Linked DNA regions of Arabidopsis thaliana. The protein of the gene in region 3 interacts with the protein of the main gene of each other region in a pairwise test. Each region holds a gene or a part of one and is shown on either strand. Other genes may lie near its edges.

Region 1 (12,910 bases), about 19 Mb from region 3:
GTAGTCTCCTACATACTATAGGATTCATCAATTTGGATTGTGGTTTGTCAATTCAAGGCTCTCCTTACAAAGAATCCTCGACCGGTCTAACATATACGTCAGACGATGGTTTCGTCCAGAGCGGGAAAATTGGTAAAATCACCAAGGAACTCGAGTCATTATACAAGAAACCGGAGCGGACGCTAAGATACTTTCCTGATGGAGTAAGAAATTGTTTCAGTCTGAATGTCACAAGGGGAACAAAGTATCTAATCAAGCCAACCTTTCTCTATGGAAACTATGATGGTCGTAATGTCATCCCGGATTTTGATCTTTACATCGGCCCAAATATGTGGATCACGGTGAATACTGATAACACTATCAAGGAGATCCTCCACGTATCGAAATCAAACACTTTGCAAGTGTGTCTTGTTAAGACAGGTACAAGTATACCTTATATAAATACATTGGAACTACGACCATTGGCCGACGATATATACACCAACGAAAGTGGCTCCCTCAACTATCTTTTTCGGGTTTATTATAGCAATTTAAAGGGCTATATAGAGTAAGAATCGCTTGCTTGATCATTATATTTTTTGCTCTAGAGTAGACAAACATATTATGTTTAATGTAAGTTTGTGCCAGGTACCCCGATGATGTCCACGATCGCATATGGAAACAAATCCTACCTTACCAGGATTGGCAGATTTTAACTACGAATCTCCAAATAAACGTTTCTAATGATTATGATCTACCCCAACGTGTAATGAAAACAGCTGTAACACCCATTAAAGCTAGCACAACGACGATGGAATTTCCCTGGAACTTAGAGCCTCCAACTTCACAGTTTTACTTATTCCTTCACTTTGCAGAGCTTCAAAGTCTACAAGCCAACGAGACGAGGGAATTCAATGTGGTGTTGAACGGAAATGTTACATTTAAATCTTATAGTCCTAAGTTTTTAGAAATGCAAACAGTATATAGCACAGCACCAAAGCAATGCGATGGAGGGAAATGCTTGTTGCAGTTAGTGAAAACGTCAAGGTCCACTTTGCCGCCTCTAATTAATGCTATGGAGGCTTACACTGTGCTTGATTTCCCACAGATAGAAACAAATGTAGATGAAGGTATGTGTGTTTTTCATATACTTATATTCTTTTCGGGTTTTAATGTTAAGCTTTAAATATATACCGAACTTGAATAGAAACTAGACTAACCATATATATAGTAGCTCAAGAAAGAAAGATAGAAACATGGAACCTTTGAAGACAGTTACAAAATATGAATATTGATATCAACTAACTTTATAAATAATTACTAGTGATTGCTATCAAGAATATACAATCTACTTATGGATTGAGTAAAACAACCTGGCAAGGAGATCCATGTGTACCCAAAAAGTTCTTGTGGGATGGTTTAAACTGCAACAACTCGGATGATTCTACGCCACCAATTATCACTTCCTTGTAAGGACATGATTTCATCGTTTTCCTACTTTTCTTTTGTACACTTAACATACTCATTATTTTTTCATCACTAGAAACTTGTCTTCAAGTGGATTGACTGGAATTATCGTGCTGACCATTCAGAATCTCGCCAATTTACAAGAACTGTCAGTATCAGATAACTATATAGATAAGCATCATTAGTTTTTAAAAAAAAAATGTTGGTAGAAATTACTAAGATGAATGGTTATTTTATCTTAATCGTTATAGGGACTTGTCAAATAACAACTTGTCTGGAGGTGTTCCTGAATTTCTAGCGGATATGAAGTCGCTCTTGGTCATGTAAGTTTCCCATGAGAATGATGTCTATTAGCCCTTGATCCTTGTGCTTGATCTATGTCTCTATCTAAACAGAAACTTAAGTGGGAACAATCTCAGTGGTGTAGTTCCTCAAAAGCTTATAGAGAAGAAAATGTTGAAATTGAAGTAAGAATTTGTATATTGTATTTGTTTGATACTAACATGTTTTTTTATGATAAACTAATTTTTTCTTGACTTGCAATCCAAAGCATTGAAGGCAATCCGAAGCTTAATTGCACAGTGGAGTCATGTGTAAACAAAGATGAAGAGGGTGGACGACAGATAAAGAGCATGACAATCCCAATTGTGGCATCAATTGGTTCTGTTGTTGCCTTCACAGTTGCATTGATGATATTTTGTGTTGTTCGAAAGAATAACCCGTCAAACGATGAAGGTATTCACATTATATTCATCGATCAAGATACTTATGAATACACACACATTAAACTTGCATAGTTTCATTGAATGTTTTCATCACAACTTTAGCTCCAACATCATGTATGCTACCCGCGGATAGTAGATCATCTGAACCGACAATAGTGACGAAGAATAAAAAATTTACGTATGCGGAGGTTTTAACCATGACAAACAATTTCCAAAAAATCCTTGGAAAAGGAGGATTTGGAATTGTATATTATGGTTCAGTAAACGGTACAGAGCAGGTTGCTGTGAAAATGCTTTCCCATTCATCAGCTCAAGGATATAAGCAATTTAAAGCTGAGGTATTCATACCACAACTCATAATGGAATTTTGTGTGAAACATTCCAGAGTTTCTTTCAAAGCTAATTTGGTGTATCATTATGGTACGTTAGGTTGAACTTCTTCTTAGAGTACATCACAAGAATTTGGTAGGCCTTGTCGGGTATTGCGAAGAAGGAGATAAATTGGCTCTCATCTACGAATACATGGCCAATGGAGACTTAGATGAGCATATGTCAGGTAAACATAATATTTGTTTTTACTAGAAAGGCAACATATTTGGTTTTCATAACAATACATCATGGTGAAACTATAACATACCAAATGGTAACTCTTTAAGAAAAAGAAAAACAAATAATAACTCAGAATAATATATTTTTTTGTCATTTACAATTCACTCATTAGTTATTTTTTTGAATATAATTTTGAATATTTGTCTATTGAATGTAAGAATCTAACACACATTAGTTATTTTTTTAACAATACATAGGAAAACGAGGTGGTTCTATATTAAATTGGGGAACAAGGCTAAAGATAGCTCTCGAGGCTGCACAAGGTTCGTATTGATTTCTCAAATACCTAACCTCATCATATTCTTTCTTTGTTTCTTTTGCTTTGACTGACTGAAACTTTGTGAAAATAATATTTTTCATAGGATTAGAGTACTTGCATAATGGATGCAAACCCTTAATGGTTCATAGAGATGTTAAAACCACAAATATATTGTTGAATGAACATTTCGATACCAAACTTGCTGATTTTGGGCTTTCGAGATCATTCCCGATAGAAGGGGAAACTCATGTATCAACTGTTGTTGCTGGAACTATTGGTTACCTCGATCCCGAGTAAGTATTACTTCTTCAATAAGAAAATATATTTTGTAGATATTTTGTCTCCAATGATTACGTAATATTCTTGCACTTTGAACTATTTTATAGATATTACCGAACAAATTGGTTGACGGAGAAAAGTGATGTGTATAGTTTTGGAGTTGTATTATTGGTGATGATTACAAACCAACCCGTGATAGACCAAAACCGCGAAAAGAGACATATAGCAGAATGGGTGGGAGGAATGCTTACGAAAGGAGACATCAAAAGTATTACTGATCCAAATCTCCTTGGAGATTATAATTCTGGTTCTGTTTGGAAAGCTGTTGAACTAGCAATGTCATGTATGAATCCTTCTTCGATGACAAGACCGACAATGTCTCAAGTTGTTTTTGAACTGAAAGAGTGTTTGGCCTCTGAAAGCTCCAGGGAAGTGAGCATGACCTTCGGAACTGAAGTGGCCCCTATGGCTCGGTAGAGGTCCTGATTATATTTCCTATTGTATCGCGTGGATCATTATTTTACCCTATATATCCTTTACAACTATCCTAAATTTTGTGCATCAATTTTATTTTTTGTAAGCAATGAACTTCTAATTACAATAGAAGTTCAAAGTCTTTTTTCCCCCATGTTTCAGTTTATTCCAACTAACCATGAATTAAATAATGGGTGGTGGTGCATGTTTCTTTTACCAAAAATAACCATGAATTAATAACTATAGCATTTGCTTATGACCCTTCAACTTCTAACATGCAGAGTGACCTTTGTATATAAGCAGCGTCACCTAAGAGATCCAGTCACCAGTACGGAAACAGAAGAAATTCCTGACAATAAAAGAAGCAAACTCACCTCCTAGCTTTTCAAATTACAAAATTGATGAAATTTGGTTTATAGATTCTCTTCATTGGGGCAAATCATAGAAATAGTTTGGTCGACATTGGGGCAAAACATGGAATAGAACGGGACAATTTTGGAAATAACAGATTGAGAGCATCAGCAACGGCAACTTCTCAACTTCCGATTCTCAATATATGTGTGAACATAAATATAAGTGTGAACACAAATATTATTAATATTTAATTGGAAAGTATTTTAATTAAACCAATGATTGAATGACAACTGTGAGAAACGTTGTCGATGAGTTTTTCTTGGTTTCTCTAAAGAAAACTTTCCCTTACCTCTCTCCTCCTTTTGACATTTTTTTCTTATTTTATTGGTGAGAGATTTTATGAGAAACTCCCGTTGGAGTTGGTCTGAGTGTCCTTCAAACATTTTTAAAATAAATATCACACATTCACACTATAACTGCTTATTCTACTTTTAAAACCATAAAATGATTGCTCCAAGCCATTGGGAATATAATCAAATATATATACTTAATCCAAAAGGTACATAAAATTTGGTGACAAAAATTTACTTTTTGTTGGAAAAAGAAAGTATCTGAGCAGAATATTGGACGGAGCAAAGAAACAAGAGAAGGATATCAAGTAGCACAACTTGACAAATTGACAAAGGATCAAACAAGATTCATATGTTGTAATAATCTATAGTCAACTAAGGCAACACATTGCTTACAAACTACAAAGTGAAGTCATTGTCATTAATGGTTATCAGATGATTACTTATGTCCACATAATATAGAAAAAAGCATATCCTTGACAATATTGAAGATAAGAAAATTCAAGGAGAATCTAAAGACTGATTGTTCTTTCGAGTTGACTTAGTCAACGGTTTTGTGGTTCCAACTTGTAAGCTGTAATTACGGCTGGGCAAGGTAACGGACCACTCTTGTCATTTTCTCTCAACCAAATCATTTTACACCATCGAAATAATATCCTCATTAAATGTGTTCCCTCAATTATTTGATTCATTAATGTGACACTTATAAGAATTTGACTTAGGACTTTGAGAAATACCTCATATACATAATCATAAACTTATATGCATAGCTTTGCTAACTCAAAAAAAAAAACAGATCCCTTCTTTGCATAGTAAGGAAGATATTAATGGAGAGTCATCGTGTGTTCGTTGCCACTTTTATGCTGATACTTCATCTTGTTCAAGCTCAAGATCAACCCGGTACATACAAAATTGTTGTTTCAATCTATACATATGTGTTCTTCAATGGTTTCTTAGACTATAAGATATATATTTTCCATCTATTATTTCATTAGGATTCATCAATGTGGATTGCGGTTTACTCCCTCGTGATTCTCCTTACAACGCACTCGGAACCGGTTTAGTATATACATCAGATGTCGGTTTAGTTAGCAGTGGGAAAACTGGTAAAATCGCCAAGGAATTCGAAGAGAACAACAGTACACCGAATTTGACATTGAGATACTTTCCAGACGGAGCACGAAACTGCTACAACTTAAACGTGAGCCGTGACACCAACTATATGATCAAGGCTACATTCGTGTATGGAAATTACGATGGTCATAAAGATGAGCCGAACTTCGACCTTTACTTGGGTCCAAATTTATGGGCAACGGTAAGCCGCAGTGAAACTGTTGAGGAGATCATCCATGTGACGAAATCCGATTCGTTACAGGTTTGTCTTGCTAAGACGGGAGATTTTATACCTTTTATTAATATCTTGGAGCTACGACCATTGAAGAAAAATGTGTACGTTACAGAAAGTGGCTCACTCAAGCTCTTATTTAGGAAGTATTTTAGTGACTCAGGTCAAACGATAAGGTAATACTTGTTTGTTAAAAATTCTATTGTAAATTTAAATTTACCATTATATTTATAGTTTACTAGATTATATCCCACATGATACGTAGATAATATATACAATATTTAGATTCTAAATTGCTAACCCGTATAAATAGGTTTTAAACTAAAAACCTCTTTTAGTTATCTGTAAATTATGTTTTATAATTCGTGATTATTAAAATTCAAAAACTACCCATATTACCCTTAAATAATCCCTTTAGGTGAATAAATATATATTTTTGAATATTATTTTCTGAATTTAGTTGTTCTAACATGCTGCAACAAAAAAAAGAAAAAGAGAAAAAAAGAAAAAAAATCTAACGATTGAGAAATGTTTTGTTTTAATGTAATAAGTCAGATTTAAAGTTATACCCTGAATTTTTGTCATGTAAGAATTCTAAAGCACACGATAACAAACTCTTATTTTCTAATTTTCTATATTATGAGTCTTATGTAAATTTTATAGTTTACATATTTTCAATTTCTAGGTTCTATATTTTTATATTGTACCTTACTTTTTCGATTTGATTAGTTTTCATTTTTTCAAATCACAATTTCCTTTCAATTTGTTTTGCTGTTCTGTCTATTTAAAATTAAAAAACTAATAATAATTAGAAATACTATATTATTACATTGACAGTAAACATAACTTTTTATTTGTGTAATGTGGTCTAACATTTACTTGTGGCAGGTATCCAGATGATATCTATGACCGTGTATGGCATGCATCCTTCCTGGAAAATAATTGGGCACAAGTATCGACGACTTTGGGTGTAAACGTTACTGATAATTATGATTTATCACAAGATGTAATGGCAACGGGCGCAACACCTCTAAACGATAGTGAGACATTGAACATTACATGGAACGTAGAGCCTCCTACTACAAAGGTTTACTCCTACATGCACTTTGCAGAGCTTGAGACACTAAGGGCCAACGATACAAGGGAATTCAATGTGATGCTGAATGGAAATGACTTGTTTGGACCTTACAGTCCAATACCGCTAAAGACCGAAACAGAAACCAACTTAAAACCAGAGGAATGCGAAGATGGGGCATGTATTTTGCAGCTTGTGAAGACGTCAAAATCAACTCTTCCGCCTTTACTTAATGCTATAGAGGCTTTCACCGTGATTGATTTCCTACAAGTGGAGACAGATGAAGATGACGGTATGTCAATTTGACATTCTTGATCTTATTTCAAAATGTTTAGCGTGTTGTGTGTTGATTCTTGATATCATCAAGCTTTACAATCGTAGCTGCTGCTATCAAGAATGTTCAAAATGCTTATGGATTGATTAATAGAAGCAGTTGGCAAGGAGATCCATGTGTCCCCAAACAGTATTCGTGGGACGGTCTAAAGTGCAGTTACTCAGATAGTACTCCACCAATAATTAATTTCTTGTAAGATGAATCATTCAATAGATTTTCTTGATTTTTTTAATCATGTCAATTTTGAACTAGATATCTCACAGTTTCTTTCTCCAGAGACTTATCTGCAAGTGGACTAACCGGGATCATCGCGCCTGCCATTCAAAATCTTACTCACCTAGAAATATTGTAAGTCTATCTCAACTGCTGACCAAGCCAAAATTTTTGTAACCATTGGAAACAGATAATGTTTAATGAGTTATTTCACTTTTGTTAATGGAAGGGCCTTGTCAAATAACAATTTGACCGGAGAAGTACCTGAATTTCTAGCTGACTTAAAATCAATCATGGTCATGTAAGTTTTTCATGAGACACTACAATATATTCTACTCTTGACATTCTCCTGAACATGTTTGTTTATCCTTTAACTATTTTTCTACTTCAATAGAGACTTAAGAGGCAATAACCTCAGTGGCCCGGTTCCTGCCTCACTTCTTCAGAAGAAAGGATTGATGCTACAGTAAGCTATATTTTTGTTACTTTCAACCTGTTATATATATATCAGGGAAATTGATGTATTTTGTTTCTTTAACAACACTCACATTCTGCAGTCTTGATGACAATCCCCATATTCTTTGCACAACTGGTTCATGTATGCACAAAGGAGAAGGCGAAAAAAAGAGTATCATTGTACCAGTGGTTGCATCAATTGTTTCATTGGCTGTTATTATAGGTGCACTCATTCTGTTCCTTGTTTTCCGAAAGAAAAAGGCATCAAAAGTTGAAGGTATCAATAAATAAACTCAAGATTAATATTAGAGCATACATGCACATCAAACATAACAAGATTTTGCCTTATATAACCTTAGGGACACTACCATCTTACATGCAAGCATCAGATGGTAGATCGCCGAGATCCTCTGAACCAGCAATAGTGACGAAAAACAAAAGGTTTACTTACTCACAAGTTGTGATAATGACAAATAACTTCCAAAGAATCCTTGGGAAAGGAGGGTTTGGAATCGTTTATCATGGCTTTGTGAACGGTGTTGAACAAGTAGCTGTTAAGATACTCTCTCATTCATCATCTCAAGGGTATAAACAATTCAAAGCTGAGGTAAATTCTAACTTTCATCACTGTCTCGAATGAAAACATCAATGATTCAACTATCTTTAAAAGCTTAAACATATGCATTTTGGCATGGTATTTAGGTAGAACTTCTTCTTAGAGTTCATCACAAGAATTTGGTTGGTCTTGTTGGGTATTGCGACGAAGGAGAGAACATGGCTCTTATCTATGAATACATGGCCAATGGAGATTTAAAAGAACATATGTCAGGTAAGCAAACAAACATGACCTAACCATATATTGCTGTAGATTTATCGTGATAGCATCAGACATTGATATCTTTCTCTCCTTTTAAAACATAGGAACAAGAAACCGATTTATTTTAAATTGGGAAACTAGACTAAAAATAGTCATTGACTCTGCGCAAGGTTGGTTTACCTAGTATCCCTATTATTTCTCTTATATATGTTTTTTTGCTTTTCATTTGATTGAATTTTATGGATTTTGTTGCATAGGGCTTGAGTATTTGCATAATGGATGCAAACCACTAATGGTACACAGGGACGTCAAAACTACAAATATATTGTTAAATGAACACTTTGAAGCCAAACTTGCTGATTTTGGGCTTTCAAGGTCTTTTCCGATTGGAGGTGAAACTCATGTGTCAACAGTTGTTGCTGGAACTCCTGGATATCTCGATCCTGAGTAAGTATTATTATTATTATTTTTTTATTATATATTGTATTATTTTGGTAAAAGAGAGTAAGTAATATAGTTTAAAAGAATTTTGTTTTATTGGAAAGGTAAATTGATAAAATTCTATGCTCCTAAATTCTCCAGATATTACAAAACAAATCGGTTGACAGAGAAGAGTGATGTATATAGTTTTGGGATTGTATTGTTGGAGATGATCACAAATCGGCCAGTGATAGACCAAAGCCGTGAAAAGCCATATATTTCAGAATGGGTGGGGATAATGCTTACGAAAGGAGACATCATTAGCATTATGGATCCAAGTCTAAATGGAGACTATGATTCTGGTTCTGTGTGGAAAGCTGTTGAACTAGCAATGTCTTGTCTGAATCCTTCTTCAACAAGAAGACCTACCATGTCTCAAGTTCTTATTGCATTAAACGAATGTTTGGTATCTGAAAATTCAAGGGGAGGAGCGAGTAGGGACATGGACTCAAAGAGTTCCCTAGAGGTAAGCTTGACATTTGATACTGATGTGAGCCCAATGGCTAGGTAGATTACATGAAATATTATCATGCGGTATCACATAAATTTGTTTATATGTTTTTATTTACAGAACTATCCTCAAATTAGTATCTCTCTTATAGGCCACCTTTGTTAATGAACTCTGAACTTTTTGTCATTGATACATGTGTGAATAACAGTCCAAAGTCTATTATTGTTCCGCCGTAATGTATCAGTTTCAAATCAGTGCATTTTTTGTTTGGAGAATTTAGATTTACTCTTGTTCTTGATTACTATTGGAACACCTCCACTTCGGAAGCTCCTACGTTGGAATGAAATCACCCATTTCTATGTAATATAGTCTCCACCATTTTTACCATAGGGATAATCTATCATCATTTGACGATTTATCCTTTTCTTTGATTTCACACCATTTAAACAAACTCTAATGCGGATTATTTATCTATATATTTGGCTCGAGTTAAATTTTCAGATTTTTATTGGTAATTTTCTCTCTCTTTTGATTGAATCACCAATAGTAAATCTTGATATTTCAATTTAATGTTGTAGTTAACAGAAATAATTGTGTGATTCTAAGACTTTCACGTACTTAGTTAGAAAAGCAAAAAACTAGAATCAGTGGAGAACCTTGGAATTATGACAAAATTGAAGGAGATGTACTAGAAATAGACAAATGTAACTTTTGTTATAAATACTCGTAAGCTTTGTTCATGTTTATTAAACTTTTAAAACATCAACAGTTTTTCCATTGAAAATGAGAAGTAAACCCAATCCTCTCTGGGCCACCATTATCACTATCTTCACCATCCTTGTTATAGGTTTGTAATTGTAGTTACATTTACAACTATTTAAATGTTTTTTGAACAGCGTTTAAATAATTTATTTATTATCATTCGAATCTAAATTAATTGTCGAAAACATGTTATTTTTCTCTATATAAACAAATTCAATTATCTTATGTTAATTTTTTTTTTATCTAAAACGACGGAACTCTTTTTTTTTGTCATCCGATATTAATTAGAGGTCAAAATTCCTGAGAAATATTGTTTATATTGATATGATGTAGTTTGACACAAACTTTTTGTGTCAAATTATCTGTTTTAATATTTGCACTAAGTGAAATAAAAGATAAATAAAAACTTTTGAATTCCTCTTTGTCACTCTGTAATTCCTCCAAATAGGCTGAGAATGTTGGTCATCTGGTTGGGGAAGACACTATCTTCACCAGATCTAAACAGTCTGTTAGAAAAACTGCTTCTTAATTGTTATCGGTAATCATACACTTTATCGCCCAGAGAAAAGCTTGCACTTCTGAATGTAGTAGAGATAGACTTTTTCTGGGATTGCCAGCTCCCATTGTGGCGTCTCTCCATTTAATGATGTACAATATCATCATGTTCCACAGAACTTCTCTTTCTTTCCATGATCCATCCATATAGCATCGATTTCTTGAATAATTGATATCGTTTGAGATATTCCTCACTCGATTCCAAGTTTCTAAATTTGAAAACCATGATTTTTATTATAAAACTCATTTTGAGCTAACTGCCACGATTGTGCCATAAAATGCTTTTCACATTCAACTTATGATGCATCTATTTGGCATCCCCTATTATCGAATATATATATATGGTGATCGAGAACATACTTTAACGGGCTTTTCAATACCAATTTTTTGGTAGCGTCCACCAAGTAAAACTCAAGAGAGTAATAATTGATGTTAAACTAATTTCTATATTTTTTAGAACATTTAATGAAAAGTCCCTCATGGGCTGATTAAACCCTTCAAGTATCAATCTATGCAATTTAAACCCTTGCACTAAATTTTTTTGGTAAGGAAACCCTTGCACTAAATCATTAGTGAAAAAGCCTTTGTTCAACTAAAGACCCATTACAAAAATAAGCCTTTGTTTGTATTATTGTCGAAATACTTCCATTGAATCAATACTTACATTTTGGTTTTTTAAAAGCTGACGATTATAGTTTTCACAAAAATAAGAGAGAATGATGTTTGGTTAAAATACATCATAAATATGATTGAAAATCTCAAACGATCATGTCAATGTAACTATGATATCACTTCATAGGCTGCATAAAACGACTGTTACCAAATCCATCTACAGTCTTAGAAATTCAGCGCATTTGAAGAGAAGAAGTATAAGAACGATATACGGTTTCTACTTTCTCACAAAGGTTTATGTTTTATATATCTTATCTAGAATTATATGATTATTGTTATTATATTTCTAGTGATATATTTCAACAATCAACTCTATATGTGTGTGTATTTTACTAATATACACAAATTTAGTTAAATATGTATATAATATATTTGTTCAATTGTCAAAAAGAAAAACTGATATTTTTTGTGTTAAATATTAACCATAATAGGGTTGATGGTAATGGAAACAATGGGGCTGAAACTGTGTTTTGAAGTTCTACCAAATACATATGGGATTATGGGGTATCTTTGAGTTCATCAACATGTGTCATTCAATGGTGTGCCATTCAATGTAAGAGGAAAGAAGCTAATGGGATCGGTACTTGCAAGCCAAGGCCCAATCAAGGGAAAATACAATATAGAAAACTAAAAGAAGAATGCCACTGCGTTTATAAATGTTCATAAAACTATATTAAATGGTGAACATTAAATCACATTTTTGTTTATTTTATAAAAAATCGTAATATTTATATTTATAATACTAAATAAGTAGACCGCCAATTTTGGTATTCTGCCAAATTAAAATTCTGAAATTCGTACAGATTTCCGATTTACTGTTGGAAATATCCGATATTTTTAAATGAACATATTTTCGTCGGACAATTTTATTACCAAGACCGAGTGAACATCTCCGCACAACCTAAAATCACTACAAAAAAAAAAAACAGTGCGGCTTTTCTACCGAATCTCGACAGACATCAATTTGGCAAAATTCTAATGATTTACCGACAAAAATATGTTCATTAAAAAAGAAAAACCTAGAAGTTACCTCATATAAAATTTGAAGAACCAACACTGTGGGGTTGGGCTAACTCATATATATACTTTCAAAATTTACATACCTTGTTCTTTTCACTGAAAGAGAAACCTAGTAACCTCATATAAACTTCTTTGGCTAACGTTTCATGAAGAAAAGTATTGTGCTACTATAAGAAATATTTGTCGTCATTTTCACCACATACATCTACCAACACTAAATTTCATTCAGATTAT
Region 2 (9,233 bases), on a different chromosome or scaffold from region 3:
AAGTTGCAACAACAAACCATTCATGGATCACCAAATCTAAGTCGAAAGAGATTCAAAATGTTCAAAAAGGTGAATCTTTCCAAGAGTGGAAATCGCTAACCTTCATCATCGGAGATCAAGTATCTTCCTTGGACAGTTGTTCTGCAACTCCGCTCTTCCAAAAATCCGATATCCTTCCTGCAAATTCATTCGAAAATCTCAAGGAAATGAAACTAAGCGGGACAATTCATAGAAGCAATGGTTGTTACCCAAAATTAATCACCTAATTGCAGAAACTCTCAACGGAAATAAGAAACCCATGATAAGTAGAAGAACGAGGAACAGCAGACTAAACCCAGATTTGGACATAATTCTTGTCGGAGAAAGAACCAATCTTTCGACCAAATCACGCTTCCGACTTCGACCACTTCAGAAACTTTTTTTTTAATCTTATGAATTAGTATAGTTTTGTCGTTAAAATTGAATTGGGGAAATCCGCGAGCCAAACCAAAACCCGGTTTCGGTTTTGATCTTCCGGTTATCGAGAGAGCAATGCGTTTAGTCAAAGTGTGTGATGCAAAATCATTCTTGAGAAAGCTTCTCTGAATATCACAAGGCGAAGGAAACTGAGAAATCAAGATTGTTTTGATACATGTTAACATGAACATGTGATTCATAAATAAGCAGTACATACGTAAAAACTAATAATCAAGTCTTTTTCAAGTGTGATTTTGGGGCGTCACATATTCAAATTGCTGCCACTGTAATCTTGCTCTTCCTCCATGCCCAATAGTTAGCTCTTACAGGATCTACACGACCAAGAATAGTACACACCAAATTGGCCAAGTTAGTCTCTGGTTCTTCATTAGCTAGAGCTCTCACTGAGTCTTTATGCTCGTTGGTTGGTCTCAGTCCATCACATAGAAGATCCAAAAGGGTGCTCAGAGCGAATCCATGGAAGCAATCTGTGCGGGATAGAACATTCAAACAGACTGAGGAAACACTTGGATCACTAATCCAGGATTCTTTGTCGTCTTTGTAAAGAGCTTTTAGGTATCGCCATGAGCTCTCGTTTGCAGGATTGGTTAAAATGGCTTTGATTGTGTAGCTTACTTCAGATTCTCTCATGGCTTCTAGGCCTCCCAACAAAGGAGATTGGGTGATGACATAATACCTCTGTCAGATTAAGGGAATGAGATTATACAAATAGGTGACAGAATCGGCAATTGATAGATTAGAGATACAGAATTTCGTATGTGTATCAACGATCAAGTTACCTGATTCCAGGCGGAATTGTTAAAGACGTCAGCTTCAAGGAGCTCGTGACAGTAATCGAGCTCATCTTCCCATCCTCCTAATGCCCGTAGTGTCCACTGCAGATTGTTTCCATATTATCAAACAAAAAGATATGCAATGATACCCCAAGTGAATGCTTTAACAAGGTTTGAGATCGCAAACCTGCCTATGTGACCAAGCATGATAATGTTTGGCATCAAGTGAAAGTACTCTACGGGTAAATTCAAGTTCTCTCCCTGCAACATCAGGACCCAGTTTCTCTGCAACCCATCGCCGATGATGCCTAGAGAAAAGGAAAACATAGAGCAGAAGCATGGACCATCAAACTCAAAACAAACAACCAAGGGTTTTAACGTTGTATAATCAGCAGATATGAGACACTATGAACTTAACAATGTGTACAAGAACAAACTTTCATCTATGGAGAAGTAGAATATACATTTATTGATTCAAAATTATTCATCAGACAATTTTCAAAAGTATAACTCACTCATAGACTTTCATGATCAAAAGCACATAGATCAAACAAGGTGTGAAAAGGTATGAACTTTACCACAGTTGGTAGTTCTTAGAGTTATCCTCAGCAATGCGTTCGATGAACTCGAGTTCTTCAAACAAGTCGTGATTAAGGGCCTCGAGTACTAGGCGCCTGAAATGCCACACCTTCAAAGGTAAACAAAAATATCGGTAAGACTAAAAATTGAAGCAACAAGGACCAATAAAAGACTAAAATCCATCAAATTTCAAAACCATAAGAGTTCAGATAGTTGTTGATTATATGAATTATAAGATTGATTACTGTGTAGTTGCCGGAGTTTAAGAGGAGGGTTTCTTCCGTGAGTCGTAGTGCGCGAGGAGATCGCTCGTCGGAAAAGTAAATCGCACGGAAGTAATCCATAGTCTCGCGGAACTCTTCCTTGTAGGCAATTGGCACCACTGGATTCGGACCATCGTCCTGAGTCAATGGGACCACGTCTGACCACTCCAATCGTTGGCTCAGTGGCACGGTCTCGTCGAAATTCATGTTCCCCGACTCCGATCCAAAGTCGAAAACCGAAGACTCCATGAAAAGTTGAAAACTAATTAGGGGAGGGGTAATGGGCTTTTAAGCCCAAACCACAATTCTACTATGATATCCTTTTTTGGCCCATTTTTAAAAATAACCACTTTCTTAACCAAAATGACTAAATTAATCATCATCAAATCTAATGAGAACATGTAGTTAGAAACCAAAACTTACCCACCTAAATTTTAAGTGCCAAAATTTTATTTTCTCTGTTTTTTCCCGCCAAAAAATTGCATTTAAAGTCTTTCTAATTTTGTTTAGAACCCTTAAAAAACCATTGTAAATCCTTTAAAAATTCTTAGAAAATCCTAGTAAAGTTTTTTAAAGCTTTGTAAAATTGTTAAAAACTCTTGTAAACCATTTTAAAACTTATTAAAATCCTTATAAAGTTTTTAAATATACATGTAAATACTTTAAAATCCTTTTTAAAACATTTTTTCAATATTTTAGAATCCTTATAAATCATTTAAAACCATTGTAAAATATATTTTAAGGGTTTAAAAGGCTTTAAATAATATATACAACAAGGATAATTTTAAGAGTTTAAAAAAAAAAAAAAAAATTTTTTGAGAGTTTTGAAAGCATTTACAAAAGTTTTCAAATGACTTTAAAAGGAATTATAAAAGTTTTAAAATCCTTTAAAATCATTGTAAATCCTTTTAAAACTCTTAAAAAAAGGCTTGTAAATATTTTTTAAATCCTTGTACTTAAAGCATTGTATAACAGCATAGAGGCCTTACTATTCACCATTACATCAAGAAGAAGCCCGTAATGGTGAAGAAGAGGTGACAGCTGCTATTATTGTCAATGGTTTGAAAGATGAACGAACTCTTTCATTAACCAAGGAAATGTTTAGGAGTTAAGATCATGAATCAACATTTTGGTGTTCTAGTTTTAGCTTCAGATATCGTATTGATTAATCCTTGATTAATCAGCACCCTCAGCTTTAGCAACACCTTTGTCGATCTTTCGATCCTTTCTCTCCCGATTGTACTGCTTGCAACCAACAATATTCAACAACCAAAAGTATATGCATATGCATACTTGACAGGAGGTAAATGACTCTTATTGCTTAATCATGGTCCCAACTCAACACATGATTAATAAGACCTAAACAATCGATTAATGAAGATTAAGTAATGATTTTTCACAAGAGCTGAGGAATAACAAAAACAATATTTTATTTTGTACTTTTTAAAAATATGAAAAAATTCCTAAAATAAAATTTACAGTATGTATATAACTTTACAACTTATTTTAAAGTAAAAATTCGTAAAACTATATTTTTTTTTAAGTCATAGCTTTATTTTTTAAAAAATAAAAATCACAGTATAAGACTTTACAGCTTATATAAAGTAACAGCTACCCTCTAAAGCCCTCTCCAGTCACCCCATACTATGTGGGCATGAGGTGTAAAATAGTACAATTGCTTTTATATATAAGCAAAAAAAAGGTTCGTTCATGTGCAATAATCATCATCATGGTTCTTTCAAAAAACTAATAATTTTATCTTAATAGATATTTAGTTTGAAAAAACATTATTGTAAACGGTTTGCTTCTACTATAAATACCTCTCATCTTGATCAAATCTCTTCATACACCAAAGCATCACATACACTATATTTTCCTTCGAAATGGCCACCGTTGAGGTATATATTCTCTTTATTTTTATTTTGTCAAACTATAAACCTGTATCTATGGTTCATATTCGTTGTTAATATATATATATATATATATCATGTATCTAGAAATCTATGTCTATCAAGTGATATGGACTATTCGCCGTTTAAACGGCATGCATTTTTTCGTTTAATAAGTGTGTTTTCGCTTACAGGTTGAACACGTGACTTCAGTAGCAGTAGAGATCGTTGAGACGGAGGTGAATCAACACCCGGAAGAAGTGTTTGTGGAAGATGCAGAGAAGACAAATGAGGATGAAGAAGAGAAGGCAGCAGTGATCACTGAAACTCCAACAGTTGTGGAGGAGGAGAAGAAAGCTGAAGAAGTGACTGAAACTCCGGAGGAGAAGAAGACTGAGGCGTTGGAGGAGAAACAGACTGAAGTTGCGGCTGCTGAGGAAGTCGCCGTCGAGAAGGCCAAGGAGTAAAGAGGAAGGAAGAAGCTCTATATGACCGACCTTTTTCGATCTCATATCGTTTTCTGTTTATTTTATTTTATCAACATTTCACCTTTCTTTCGTGTTGAAGAGCCCATCTTGTTTGAACTGTTTATGTTTTTTTGGTCTCATATCGTTTTTTGTGTGATTACATGAACATAGTATTGTAGTCGTAAATCAACAGAAGCTAGACAGAACCCAACAAGAAACAATTTAAACAAGCTTGGGCTCTTCAACACGAAACAGTACCGCCAAATTATACACAAATTTCATCAAAACAAACAAATTAAACAAGTCATAATTTATCTATGTATGGGGAATATCATTTTGAGATAGATATAGATAGAGCTACAAAAACAAGTTAATATCTAGTACTAAAAGAAGAAGATACAAAACCGCCTAGTCTTTTGTGGGGTGAGAGTTCCATCCTGCAATGCTTCAATCTCCTCTTTTTGAGACTTTCGAAATAAACCAAATGTTTCACAAAGTGGGTTAAAGAAGAAAGATCAGTTAGTCCATTCAGTGTATCCAAACTTACAAAATGCCTTAGAAAACTGAATAAGATTATAAGAAGACCTTACGTTTTCAAGAAGAGGCGGCCACATACTTGCAAAGTAGTCAGCTGCCTCATCGGACATCACCTTTCTTTCCTTATACGCTGAAGCAGTTACATGAAACTTATTAGAAGTAAATCAAATTCGCTTGCTAGCTGACTAGCTCAAGAGCGTCATCCAGAAAACGTTTCTAAGATTTTGCAACGATATCAAGCGTCTGAGGTGAAAGTAATGTGAGCAAAAATCTGATCTCAGTTAACAAAAATCTAAACAATCAATACTTAAAAGAAAAATCTAAACAATCAATACTGTTTTTAAATCCAAAACAGTAAAATCGAAAATAATCAAAAGTTGAATTTTGGAAAATAAAATTAAAATATGAGCGGGTCAATGTTAATATGCATATAAATATTAATATTAAATAATTTATTTAGAGTATAATTTTACCGATAATGTTTGTTTAAATATTATTATCAATTTTTTAACAAATAAATTAGAACCTAAATAATGTCATGGTTGTGTAATCCTCACAAATTATATAAATTACACTTTGTTTTTGTTTTTGTAGTGTTAGAAACACTTCACTTGTGTGTTAAATACATGATTCTTTATATGTCTTTATCATTTTTTATTTATTTATTTTTTTCTATAATAGTAGTGAAAAAGGTACGACATATGTTATTTCATTCCTCAATATATTTATTTACTCAAATGTATATGTAGATTGTGCACATTAGTTAATTGTTTTGTTTATCTAAATCATAATTGATTTTTTTTTTATCAAAAGTAGTTGCCAAATCTTTATATAGTAGGAAATAATCTAATGTAGGATCAAGAAGGAACTAAATAATTAAAATTAATATATAAAAAAGATGGAAAGAGTTAGGCAATATGCATAAATAGAAAAAACAAATTAATAAAAATGTACAAAACAGGATTTGAAAATAAGTTAATGGGTCTACATTAACATTTAAAACAAAATTATCAACAAATACCAAATAATTAAGCCTAATAAACAAAATTTTCTAAAATACATGGGGTCAAGTGACCCCCTACTAACACCCTACCCCGCTACTGAGTATTACTGTATTAGTATCACCAACACGTTACAAAAACATGTGATGTGAGGATAAATAATTAGGCACATTATTTAATAAACTTGTTTATGTATTTTTCCCCTAAAAAACTATTGTTAGGCAGGCTGATTAGAGCAAATCTCTTAAAAATTCCGCAATTAATAAAGAAAACGTTGTTGTGAAATCAAAGCAAAAAAGAGAGAAGGAGAGGTCGTGTTAGATAATTAGAGCGCACTTGCGAGCAACAACGAACGACGACCCACTGATTCAATCTCCTCCTCTCTGCATATTCCTTGGCATCTTTTCTGGTACCGAAGCTGAGTCTCTGGAGAGTTTCTAGATCTTCTTCAATTCTGCAATTCAGAGCGAAGATTTATTAGTGATTGATTATTCACTCTGGAGCTCGAGTTCTGGATCCGTGTGGCTGGAGGGAATGTTCTGTTAAGCTGATTGTTTAGGTTAGTTTGATCGATCACGATTTTGATAGAATTTTGGAATGAACCGACAAGTCTTCTAATGGCGGCTTTAGATCCATGTTTGGGTTTTTGAGATCTATCTTTTCTTTTTCGCTCATTGTTTCTATTAGATTGTGATTTTATTTAGCTACTGAGATCTGATTGTGAGTTCAGATTTGGTGATTTGCCTTCTCTGCTAAAATTCCACATAAAGTTGATATCTTGTTGCGATTCTTAGTTGGAACGCGACTCATGAGTTGTTGTTGTTGTTTATCAGGCTTGTTGGATCAGTATAGAAATTGTCAGATTGAGAAAGACAACAAATGAAGAACGGTATAGCTGAGTGCCCTGCATGTCATTCAAAATTGGTCTCTCCTGGTAGCAAAACTATTTCTAGGGCTTATGACGACCACAAGATTAGGGTATCCTCAAAACAACGTGTCCTCAATGTCCTTTTGGTTGTAGGTGATTGCATGCTTGTTGGTCTCCAGGTAAATCATCTCCGTTTGACAAATTTTCCATATTTATTATCAGCGTTCTTCTTTTTCCTCTCAGCTCATCATTTGTTTGTGTAAATCACTTAAAAGTTACATACTTTTCCTCTTTTTCAGCCTGTCTTGGTGTATATGTCGAAGGTGGATGGGAAATTCAACTTCAGTCCTATTAGCGTCAACTTCTTGACAGAAATCGCAAAAGTTATTTTTGCGATTGTGATGCTTTTAATCCAGGTATGTTTCTGAACTGACTTACAATCTCGATTCATTTAGTGTGACATTTAAGTTGTACTCTAGTATCTAGGACTAGTTACTAGATGTTTCTAACTTCATAAGAAGGTGACAAGTATGAGAAGTTCATGATGTTGATAAACCAGTAAAGTGAATGTGAAAGGATCCCATTATGTTCTGTGCGTAAAGACAATTTCTTGATTTTTGAATTATTACCTATTTCTTGAGTCTCTTGCTTTTCTGTAAGAACCGTGGATGCTCTATCAATACTTACGTGTTTGTGTTCAAATTGTAGGCCAGGCACCAAAAAGTTGGAGAGAAGCCTCTTCTATCCGTTTCCACATTTGTCCAGGTATCTCTTCTTTGTCAATTAGAGTGAGAGTAGTGTATTGCCAAGCTGCTACTAGATTAGTGGTATGACAAAAAATGGGGGGAAAAAATTAAAGGAAAGAGAATAATGCCTTCGTTTAATCAATTGAATCGTCATGGTAGAGAATAATTCCGATGTTTTAATAAACTGAAGCTAGCTTCTTGAACTTTCATTGCCTGATGGCTAGTCATGTCTTGCAAACATGTCTCATCTTCGTTGCGCCTTCTTATTTTCCTACTGTTCATAAGGTTTTCTAGACTTAAGTAAATTGATGATTCGAAGAGTTACATGTTGGTATGTCAATGCACAGTTGTTTGAAATGTGGAATTTACTGACCAGTACATATAAATAATTGTGAGTTTTCTTAGAACTATTTTTTTCTGCTGAGCTTGAAAGTTCAATGGCTTGACCACTTAGACTGCAGAATTCACTGACATGATTTTTTACAGGCAGCCCGAAATAATGTGCTTCTTGCTGTTCCAGCCCTGTTGTATGCAATTAATAACTATCTGAAGTTCACAATGCAGGTATAGCCACTTGTTATTTTTCATTTTGGTATCCTTAAGTGTAATTAAGCTGTGGAATGTAGTGAGGTATATTGTCAGAAGTTGTGGCTCTATGGCAAGAGCATGTCATGTGGTGTTCTATCTGTTCCAGTTTTGTTGATGCTATATTTTTTTCTTTCCACGTCAGACATTACTTTAGTGAACCATAACCAGATAATGGAATTACCATTTAGAAGGATAAGTTTGTACACCTCTCTTTTCCACCATATCTTCTTATCCCTTAAGATCCGGTGGTCAATGCGTTACCTGTCATGTTTGCTTTGGGTGATAGATATTTGAGTCGTCAGCTGTTTACATCATAATTAAATTGTGGATTGATGTAATTATGATGTGCAATTACTATTTGATTCATCTCGGCTTGTACTATTTGATTCTACCTTGCATTCTCTATGTATTTTCATGTCATATGATAATGAAGTTTCTGCTGTGCAGCTATATTTCAATCCTGCTACTGTAAAGATGCTTAGCAACCTAAAGGTTCTGGTCATCGCTGTTCTATTAAAGATGGTAATGAAGCGGCGGTTTTCTATCATACAGGTCAGTTTCAGTTGTTCTTATTAGTTATATGTATGACCGGTTATCAATAACAGACAATATTGTTGTGGAAGTTTTTGTGTAACCTTCCTTTCGTAGTTACATCTTATCGGCCTAAAATTTTTTGATTACTCAATATAAATTCTTGGTTGGATTTTGTAGGATTTTATATTTATATTGCTTATTCATGTTATCCTAATTTTGTTATAGTGGGAGGCACTTGCTCTGTTGCTGATAGGGATTAGTGTAAACCAATTACGTTCTCTTCCTGAAGGTGCTACAGCCATTGGAATTCCTCTTGCTACGGGTGCATACGTCTGCACCGTTATCTTTGTAAGTATATTTGCTCATTTTGAAGATATTTTGGTTGTTCCATTCAGATAATCTGACTTCTTGTGCTTCCCCGTTGATGCATTATGAAAAGGTTGTAATTCATGCTAGAGGCTAAATTGCAAATTTATATGCAGGTCACTGTCCCGTCAATGGCATCTGTCTT
Region 3 (8,771 bases):
ACCCGAAGAGTTGATGCAGTACAGAAAGGAAATATCATATTCATCTTGCTGGCATCATTTCAGGTTTCCCATTTTATTCTTTACAAGATAGCTTATGAATCTCTACGTCCACCTGCCACCAAGAGAGAATAGCCTTTCACAAAACTGGGAAAATTGTTTTCTTAAATTTTCTCTTTTATTACTTTCATAGAAAGAACAACAAGGATTTGAGCACCAGGAGTCAACCATGCCCTCTGTACCAGATCCTGATACGGTAAATCATTTCTCCAGATTTAAGGGTTCCAATAAATTGTTGTGTGTTTTATTTTTCACCATTATCTGCTACAGCTTCTATCACTGGAGGAGTTGCGTGAAAGCCGTATAACTGATCCTCATTTACCGAGGTAAGTGGTAGTGTTTTCCAATGTATGATAACTTATATCAAAAGCTCAAGTTGGACCAATCTTCCAATTGTTTCTTTCTTTCAGGAGTTATCGGAACAAAGTTGCAACTAGAAACTTTGTTCCATGGCCTATAGAGATTCGATTTTGTGAGCCCAGCAATTCAACAAATCAGACAAAGTCTCCTCCGAGGTTAACAACTCGCTGAAATAAATCAATTATATCATAGAGTACTCTTGAGTGTATACTCATAAATTCCATTAAGTATTTCTTAAAAAAAAAATCAAGAAACTCACAATGCCTTCTTGCAGATTGAACTATTGGTTTAGAGCAAAGGGAAGGCTTTCTGATGATCAAGCTTTGCACCGGTAAGTAACTCCATCTATGTATATCAAGGTAACCATCTAAAAATTGGTATTATTCATCTGGTAACAATCCTTTAAACTTTAAAGGCAAGAATGATTGTAGACAAGTGAATCAATGGTGTTTTAGTATCCCAAGTTGATAGGTTGAGACTTGTAAAAGGCCAAACTTTCTTAATAGCATTGAAAAACTGACGGTATATTGAAATTCAATTTATCATTCTTAGCAAACTAATCATTTGGCAAAGCCATGTTGATATGCAGATGTGTCGTTGCATTTGCCTCGGATTTAATATTTTGTGGTGTTGGTTTGAACCCTCACCGGAGAAAAGGGGTGAAATCCGCCGCACTTAGCCTGGACCATGCGTAGGTTTTTATTTTCTCTTGGTGATGTATGAGTTTTGTGTGTCTGGGTTAAATTTTTTAATTACATTGAGGCATTATTCCAGTAGGGATCTTCCAGATAAGTAACTATTACGAGTTACTATTCCTCATTTGGTTTGCAGGATGTGGTTTCACCGACCTCTAAGAGCCGACGAGTGGTTGCTCTATGTGGTAGTTTTTTCTATCCTTGTTTCTTATGAACATTTCAGATCAAATGTTTGTTCAGAATAAATGAAAATGATTTTTGGTATAGAGTTGTTTTATAAACTTGTTTGCTGTAAGAGGTTCACCCACTTACAACACAAAGGATGCTGCTTGCAGATTGTGAGTCCAACTGCGCATGAGACCCGTGGTTTTGTGACTGGTCAAATGTTCAACAGGAAAGGAGAGGTACTCTTTCTCTATTCTTTTGAACCCTATTATACATACATATCTGGAAATGATAAGTGATAAAAGAATTCCTTTTGGTATGTGTTTTTGAATATGAGAACAACAGCTGGTTGTATCATTAACGCAAGAGGCCCTATTAAGAGAGGCTAGACCTCCAAAACCCTCCGGCACGTCGAAGCTCTGAATGGCTCTCAACGTAAGTTAAATAAGATACATTATTACGAGTACAAGGCGACGAATAAAAAGATCAAAAACCAATCTGGGTGGGTACTAAATAAAAGATTTTATTAGACAAACTCATAATGTCAATGTAGCACGCTGTATGTACATTGTTTGATTCCGGCCTTCTCACCTCTATCATCATCTATCTATAAATTCTCTTGTTTTTTTTTTTTGTTTTAAAATTCTTTCTCACAAGAACACCTTTAGATCGATTCGTGGGCCAGAAAATTATGGGCCCAAGTATCAAATTAGTTTTCGTACGACCCATTTTGGATCCGCGGGGGTATCTTTGATGGAACCGGTACACCTGCTTAACCGGCCGGTTTATAGTTTTGTATCCATTTGTGATTTGCGGGTTTCTGTTGCCACCTCCCCACTCTCCTCGCTTTTGTTGGTCTTGGAAAAACCCTGGGATTTTGGGTATCTCTGAGCACGAATTCTACATTCTCATGGCTTTCGAACACAGAAATGAAGACCTAAATTCCTTGGATTCGGAAGAAGATCTGGAGAAAATGGAGTCAGAGGTGGAGCAAATGTCGCGCAAGGTTTCCGAGTACAGGAAAAGCCTACCGAGTAATCTGAGCAATTCTGTGATTTCTTCTCGTAGATCCAATTTTCCCAACATCGATTCTTTGGGCTTTCGCACAACTAGCACAGGTTCGTACGTTTCTTTGCTTATATTTAGTTAGATACCTTCCTTCTCCTTTGGTTTCAGCTGGAATTTTAGTCTCTTTTTCTTTCTAGATGATGTAATAATAGATTGATCCTCTACATTATTCGTGGATCATTCTTGTGAAGACCAAGTTGTTTAGCAGCAGCAGACTTGCCTTTTGATTGTGATGTCGTTTTTTGCATTTAGGTTTGTGTCATGCCATGCGTGTAGAATATTGTGATACTTGCTACTATACCCTCTGGATGATTATGTTCATGAGTTATTACGCTTAATTCTGAGGTGATGATACATATACAAGGCTTTTCCATTACAATAAATCATGTATTTTTGTGGCTTAGAATCGACAAGCATGAGACTATGTGATGATATGTTTAGCTAAGCTGAGAGAAAATGATTGTTTAGCCAATTTTTGTTTACAGATACCATGAGATAAGTGGCCACATTAGGTGACACTAAGATTTCATAGCATTGTAATATACACAAGTCTCTAGTGAACTGCTGTTGTGATAACCAACTCATCAGTTATTTTGTTCCTTGCAAGTTTGGAAGAACCTCTAGTGTCAAGAGATGGAGCACATATAGGTGGAATCGAACAAGAATCTCGAGATAGCCTGATTCAGCTCAAAGAAAGAGTGTACGAGAACATTGCCACAGTGCCTCTAGTTGTAGAGAGAATGCGAGAGAGTAAAGAGAGAATCGACAAGTCCATTTCTTTCAATGGAACTACTATGCACCCGGCTTTCACAAGGCGGAAAGCTAGCTAACTGATCAGTTTCTACTTCTCCCTATTGGCTTTACCACTCAAAGAAAGCTAATGCATAGGAGGAGATATGGCTGGTATTTCTTTCTACTATATTAGTATCAACCAACATCTCTCGCATTTAGAATAAGAGTATACCATAACCTCTGTTTTGATTGTGTTCTACATTGAAACAGGTCTTTCTCTGATTTTAATATGGACTCTTATAGAATCTTGGGCTGATTCTACACCCTGTATGTATATGTAAGAATCACATAATCAGATGGTTGCACAATTGTCAAGAACACCCAAATCCAAGCTTGCGATTTAGCAATCTCACCCGTGTAAGAAACTTAAAACCATAAAACCAATTGATATAAGAGCTTTTCTAGCAAAAACTTAAAAATATAATTAACACCGTCGAAAATGGTGGAGGCTACTAGAGCGAGATATAAACTTTATCACCGTTTAATCGTGTGGGATTTTGAAATGATATGAACCTATTGCAAAAAGACAAAAAAAAAATATAAACGGAGGAACTAGGCAGTGGGACCGGAGATCCACCGACCGGAAACGAAGAATCCATAGTAAGATAGAGCCCAGGGGTTCGGTCGTATCGGACCGGTCGGATTTGGATTCTAACGACAAGTGAGTGGACCCCCAGAAACGACAGACGTAAGCAATGACAACATCAAACTCATCGCCACGTCAGCAACGGAGTTCTACTTGCGAAACGTGTCCCGGCAGCGTCATCCACCCACGTGTGTTCTAGAAGCTCTTCTCCTCCTCCGTATCTCGACACGTGTCCACTCCCTCTCCTTATATAATTGACTTTTCTCTCATTCTTTCCAAGTTTCAAAAACGCCAAGTTTCAGAGGTAGAGAGAGAGATACTACAATTGATTAGGATAGGATCAGGATCATCCTCAACAACCTCCTCCTAATTCCTCCTCCATTCATAGTAACAATAATATTAAGAAAGAGGGTAAACTATGTCAGAATTATTACAGTTGCCTCCAGGTTTCCGATTTCACCCTACCGATGAAGAGCTTGTCATGCACTATCTCTGCCGCAAATGTGCCTCTCAGTCCATCGCCGTTCCGATCATCGCTGAGATCGATCTCTACAAATACGATCCATGGGAGCTTCCTGGTGACATACTAGCTCTCTTTCTCTTTAATCTTTGCCGGATTCTAAATCTGAGATTGTTCTCTGCTGACTCAAATTCAATTTTACAGGTTTAGCCTTGTATGGTGAGAAGGAATGGTACTTCTTCTCTCCCAGGGACAGAAAATATCCCAACGGTTCGCGTCCTAACCGGTCCGCTGGTTCTGGTTACTGGAAAGCTACCGGAGCTGATAAACCGATCGGACTACCTAAACCGGTCGGAATTAAGAAAGCTCTTGTTTTCTACGCCGGCAAAGCTCCAAAGGGAGAGAAAACCAATTGGATCATGCACGAGTACCGTCTCGCCGACGTTGACCGGTCCGTTCGCAAGAAGAAGAATAGTCTCAGGGTATGGAATCAGATCTGATTCACATCTTTGTTTCAATCTCTTGTTCTGTTTCTGGTAAATTGAATCAACGGTGTTGATTTTTGCCCAGCTGGATGATTGGGTTCTCTGCCGGATTTACAACAAAAAAGGAGCTACCGAGAGGCGGGGACCACCGCCTCCGGTTGTTTACGGCGACGAAATCATGGAGGAGAAGCCGAAGGTGACGGAGATGGTTATGCCTCCGCCGCCGCAACAGACAAGTGAGTTCGCGTATTTCGACACGTCGGATTCGGTGCCGAAGCTGCATACTACGGATTCGAGTTGCTCGGAGCAGGTGGTGTCGCCGGAGTTCACGAGCGAGGTTCAGAGCGAGCCCAAGTGGAAAGATTGGTCGGCCGTAAGTAATGACAATAACAATACCCTTGATTTTGGGTTTAATTACATTGATGCCACCGTGGATAACGCGTTTGGAGGAGGAGGGAGTAGTAATCAGATGTTTCCGCTACAGGATATGTTCATGTACATGCAGAAGCCTTACTAGAAGGGAATTCCTTTCCTGCCGCCGAAACGCAACGCAAAACGACCCTCGTTTTTGCGTTTATGGCAACACGAGACCGTTTTATATGGTCAATGAGTGTGCCGATTCGGCCATTAGATTTCTGTTCAGTCTTCGTTTATTCTATAGACCGTCCGATTTCAGATCATCCCTAATCGGACGGTGGTCGTTGGATGTATCAGTAGTGTATTACTGTGTTAGGTAGAAGAAAATCCACTTGTTCTTAAATTGGCATAAAAGTCAGAAGCTAATATTTATATGTGCCGCAATCAATTTAATATTTTCTGTCTACTTAGGAGTAATGGATACAAACTAGCGTATTGGTTCTATATTTATTTATCAGCTTTCACAGTTGATCTGACTTACATTTATTGTGAACATATCTAACAAGTGTAGAGGAGTAATGGATACAAGCTAGAGTACAGTGTGTTAGCAGAAACGCTATAAGATGAAGTCTGATGTTGAGCTACATGTTACTGTCCATTGTCACTTGTCGGACTTCTTTGATGGAAAGATGAACTCTTTCACGGAATCTTGCGCTGAAAGTATCCTCTGTCTGATCTGCATATGCAAAATGTCATAGATAATATAGAGTTAATTGGCTACAAAACCCCATCGAACCATAAGAAATTGATTTGGTGTTCAAGAGTAAATGAGTAATCAGTACTCTCAACATAGAGAGAGTAACAACAGACTAAAAACTCAGCAAAACAAAGTAGTCACTACTCATTCGTTGAAGATCCAGGCAAACGCAACAAAGCTGAGCATAGAAGTCAGGAACATTCATATCTCATTCAAAGTTTTCTAAGATCAAAATTCAACCCTAGCAACTAACAACTAATAAAGAGATCTAACCAATATCAATTGAAACCAAGTGATTGTAGGCTGTAGCAAATATCTGCGATTCGAAGCGATGATGATCGAGAAGGTTGACGGTTCGATTTATTAAACACAAACAAAAAAAAAAGAGAGAGAGAGAGAGAGAGAGAGAGAGAGAGAGAGAGAGAGAGAGAGAGAGAGAGAGAGAGAGAGAGAGAGAGAGAGAGAGAGAGAGAGAGAGAGAGAGAGAGAGAGAGAGAGAGAGAAACTCACAGGATCAAGAGCGTTGGGCTCTGGACCGTAATCAGCGGTTAAGAGGAAGTACGATACAACAGCAGTCGCCACCACACTGGTTACCTTCACCACCTTTTCAATTTGGGGATTCATCGATGTTTTCGTTCCCAGAAAGAACAATTCCGGTGATTTTGGTTTTTTTCAAGTGACACAATGATGATGTTATACGTTTTTTTATTGGTAAAACGACACACAATCCGATTTGTGTAAGAAAATTCATGCCGTTTTCGTTCACTTCAAATATGGGCCCAGAAAGGCCCAAACATCTCATCAAGTCCTCACGGCGTCGTTTTTAAGATCCCCGCTGCGTTGATTTATGGCGATCTCTTTCGGCGGTTGAAAACCTTTGAAAATTGAAAATGGAGAAATCGACCTCTCCGGCGACTCGAGTCACCGAACCTCCTCCTGCTGCTACTTCATCTCTTCCAGCACAAGCTCCTCCGCTTCCTACATCTGCAGATCAGAGATCAGCTGAGTTACCTTCGCCTGCTCAGCCAGCTCAGATGACTGCGCCTCCGTCGACAGTTACCACAGATCCGTCGTCCAGGGGAAGAAAGCGAGCGCTGGAAGCGAATCTTCAGATCGAGAGCTCCAACTACTACAAGATGCGTCTCCTTGTCAAAGATCTTCGCCCTCACGTTCTCGAGGTTGGACCATAATTGTGATAAAAACATTCAAACTCTTTGTTTGGGAAAGGGTTTATACATAACAACTTGGATTTTGTGGTGTGCTACAGGTTTTACGAACTCCAGACTTGAGGAACTCTAAGGCAGTTATCGAGATTCAAGAGAGTGAGAAGCTCTTACACTCTCTTCTTTTGTTATCTCAATTTTCACTTAGCTCAACAAAAGGCCCAACTTGTTTGATTCTGTGTCCCTTGAAATGATGATGTTTGCAGAGATGAAGCTTATGCTTCAACTGTACGAAGAGATGATTGGAGAGTCTCCCAAACGTGAGAAAACAGCTAAGAGCGACTCTTTATCCAACGGAAAGGCGACTACTACTACTACTACTACTACTAGTGTACTGAGATCATCTGAAACTGAGAAGCACAGCTCTGATGGAGATGGCGACAAGGTGGTTGGAGGGTCGGCATTTGGCTGGAACTTCATAACCTCTGGAGGGCCAGGCACTGAACCTGTTTATTCTGGAATGTCAAAGGAAGAATACAGAAGCTCTCACCCAATTATGCAAGTGGAGGCAGAGCTTGAGTTGCCCAACACATTCTAAGCTTTGTTAGTGGTGTTTGTATAATATTATTCACTTTGGTATCCGTTCATCCCAATGTTTTATATGTATCAACTGAAACAATGGATTAGCTTCTACCCATGAAGCCTTAATTAGTACACAATATGCTTAACATCTAAACCTTTTTTTTTACACAATATGCTTAATGAGACAGCACATTACCTTTGGATTGTTAATCAAAGCTTCTTCATCTTCTACCAAAACCCAAAATAATAAGTCTTTAGTTCTGTGTGGAAGCTGAAATCTTTCTGGCTTCAAGAATGGATCCTTCGGTAAGTGCGATTTGAGATTCCTTCTCCATTCCCAGGACAGAAAGAGCAGCAGACTGGAGATACAATGCAACATACCAAACAGGAGAAATGCCTTGAGCCTTCATTGCATCATCTAAAGCTTCTTTCGCCATGTTACTCATTAGGTAACTTTGACTTCGCCGCACCAAGACTGTTGCAGAGATCATTCCCAAATCAAGAAACTGGGACAATTTTTATAGACAGGGCATCATCAACTATGGAGGAAGGTCTTGTTACGGATTCAAGTGTGAAAGAAAGACATACCTGCGTGTAAAACTCAATGGCTTCACTAAAGTCTTTTCTTCTAAATGCAATATCACCTTTTTTCTTCGAGTTTATAGCTTCTTGCATCTGTTCCGTCCACATAAACGAAAGCTGCGTTTAAACATGTCACATAAAGAAGCCTTCATGGGATGGGAAGCATAAGGATTCTAACTCTAAAGTGGTAACCGTAAAGCATGACGACTTACATCTTCATCGTCTTTGTAACCAATTTTTTCCAAGATCTCAACCATAGACGTCAGGTCTTTTCCCGAGCAAGCCTCAGCAAAAGGAGACGGAGGTGACGCAAAAGTACCACTTTGAGGCAGACCCATTAGAACATGAGACAGAACCTCTGTGTCTTTCTGGAGAGATATCAGTGCAGTGACCAAAGATTTTATGTTTGGTCGCTCACGAGCTTCATACTGAAGACAACAAGATGTCAGGCGTACTAACTCCGTACCATCACTGTCTGAAAATTGTCCCTCCAAGCAGGAATCGGTTAGAGTCTGAAGATTTCTGTCTCGAATCAAATCAAGGGCCTAAAACACACAGCAAAAGGCTGAGATAATTAATAAAGAGAATTCAAGAAACGATTAAAGTAGCTACCATGGGCACTTACATGGCTAGGAGGAATATGCTTTCCGGTGAGAAGATCA

The links.
Region 1: the proteins of ATAF1 (region 3) and AT1G51805 interact in a two-hybrid assay, tested with the Arabidopsis thaliana proteins (one large-scale study listed by BioGRID).
Region 2: the proteins of ATAF1 (region 3) and FTA interact in a two-hybrid assay, tested with the Arabidopsis thaliana proteins (one large-scale study listed by BioGRID).

Annotation. Positions count from the first base shown.
Region 1 is NC_003070.9:19,218,004-19,230,913, reverse strand, and holds AT1G51805 (Leucine-rich repeat protein kinase family protein), read left to right. Parts: upstream 1-5,116; 5' UTR 5,117-5,323; coding exon 5,324-5,396; intron 5,397-5,491; coding exon 5,492-6,017; intron 6,018-6,729; coding exon 6,730-7,208; intron 7,209-7,297; coding exon 7,298-7,442; intron 7,443-7,526; coding exon 7,527-7,598; intron 7,599-7,692; coding exon 7,693-7,764; intron 7,765-7,857; coding exon 7,858-7,929; intron 7,930-8,020; coding exon 8,021-8,196; intron 8,197-8,278; coding exon 8,279-8,526; intron 8,527-8,621; coding exon 8,622-8,748; intron 8,749-8,840; coding exon 8,841-8,906; intron 8,907-8,993; coding exon 8,994-9,183; intron 9,184-9,318; coding exon 9,319-9,727; 3' UTR 9,728-10,678; downstream 10,679-12,910. Other genes in the region: AT1G51810 (Leucine-rich repeat protein kinase family protein), read left to right, coding at 330-547, 628-1,109, 1,304-1,448, 1,523-1,594, 1,698-1,769, 1,842-1,913, 1,997-2,181, 2,274-2,509 and 4 more.
Region 2 is NC_003074.8:21,937,275-21,946,507, reverse strand, and holds FTA (farnesyltransferase A), read right to left. Parts: upstream 2,339-9,233; 5' UTR 2,300-2,338; coding exon 2,075-2,299; intron 1,939-2,074; coding exon 1,829-1,938; intron 1,559-1,828; coding exon 1,438-1,558; intron 1,353-1,437; coding exon 1,257-1,352; intron 1,156-1,256; coding exon 727-1,155; 3' UTR 501-726; downstream 1-500. Other genes in the region: AT3G59390 (glycosyltransferase family protein), read right to left, coding at 101-177, 263-348; AT3G59370 (Vacuolar calcium-binding protein-like protein), read left to right, coding at 3,976-3,990, 4,176-4,448; UTR6 (UDP-galactose transporter 6), read left to right, coding at 6,866-7,033, 7,154-7,270, 7,563-7,619, 8,087-8,164, 8,636-8,740, 8,948-9,070, 9,205-9,233. UniProt on the Arabidopsis thaliana protein: Essential subunit of both the farnesyltransferase and the geranylgeranyltransferase complex.
Region 3 is NC_003070.9:264,330-273,100, forward strand, and holds ATAF1 (NAC (No Apical Meristem) domain transcriptional regulator superfamily protein), read left to right. Parts: upstream 1-3,663; 5' UTR 3,664-4,141; coding exon 4,142-4,301; intron 4,302-4,387; coding exon 4,388-4,665; intron 4,666-4,753; coding exon 4,754-5,185; 3' UTR 5,186-5,490; downstream 5,491-8,771. Other genes in the region: AT1G01710 (acyl-CoA thioesterase II), read left to right, coding at 1-63, 191-253, 328-383, 468-572, 692-748, 1,007-1,108, 1,249-1,297, 1,448-1,516 and 1 more; AT1G01715 (uncharacterized protein), read left to right, coding at 2,188-2,395, 2,964-3,175; AT1G01725 (adenylosuccinate synthetase), read right to left, coding at 5,687-5,761, 6,293-6,406; AT1G01730 (uncharacterized protein), read left to right, coding at 6,673-6,960, 7,050-7,104, 7,212-7,543; BSK4 (kinase with tetratricopeptide repeat domain-containing protein), read right to left, coding at 7,782-8,033, 8,116-8,226, 8,322-8,654, 8,735-8,771.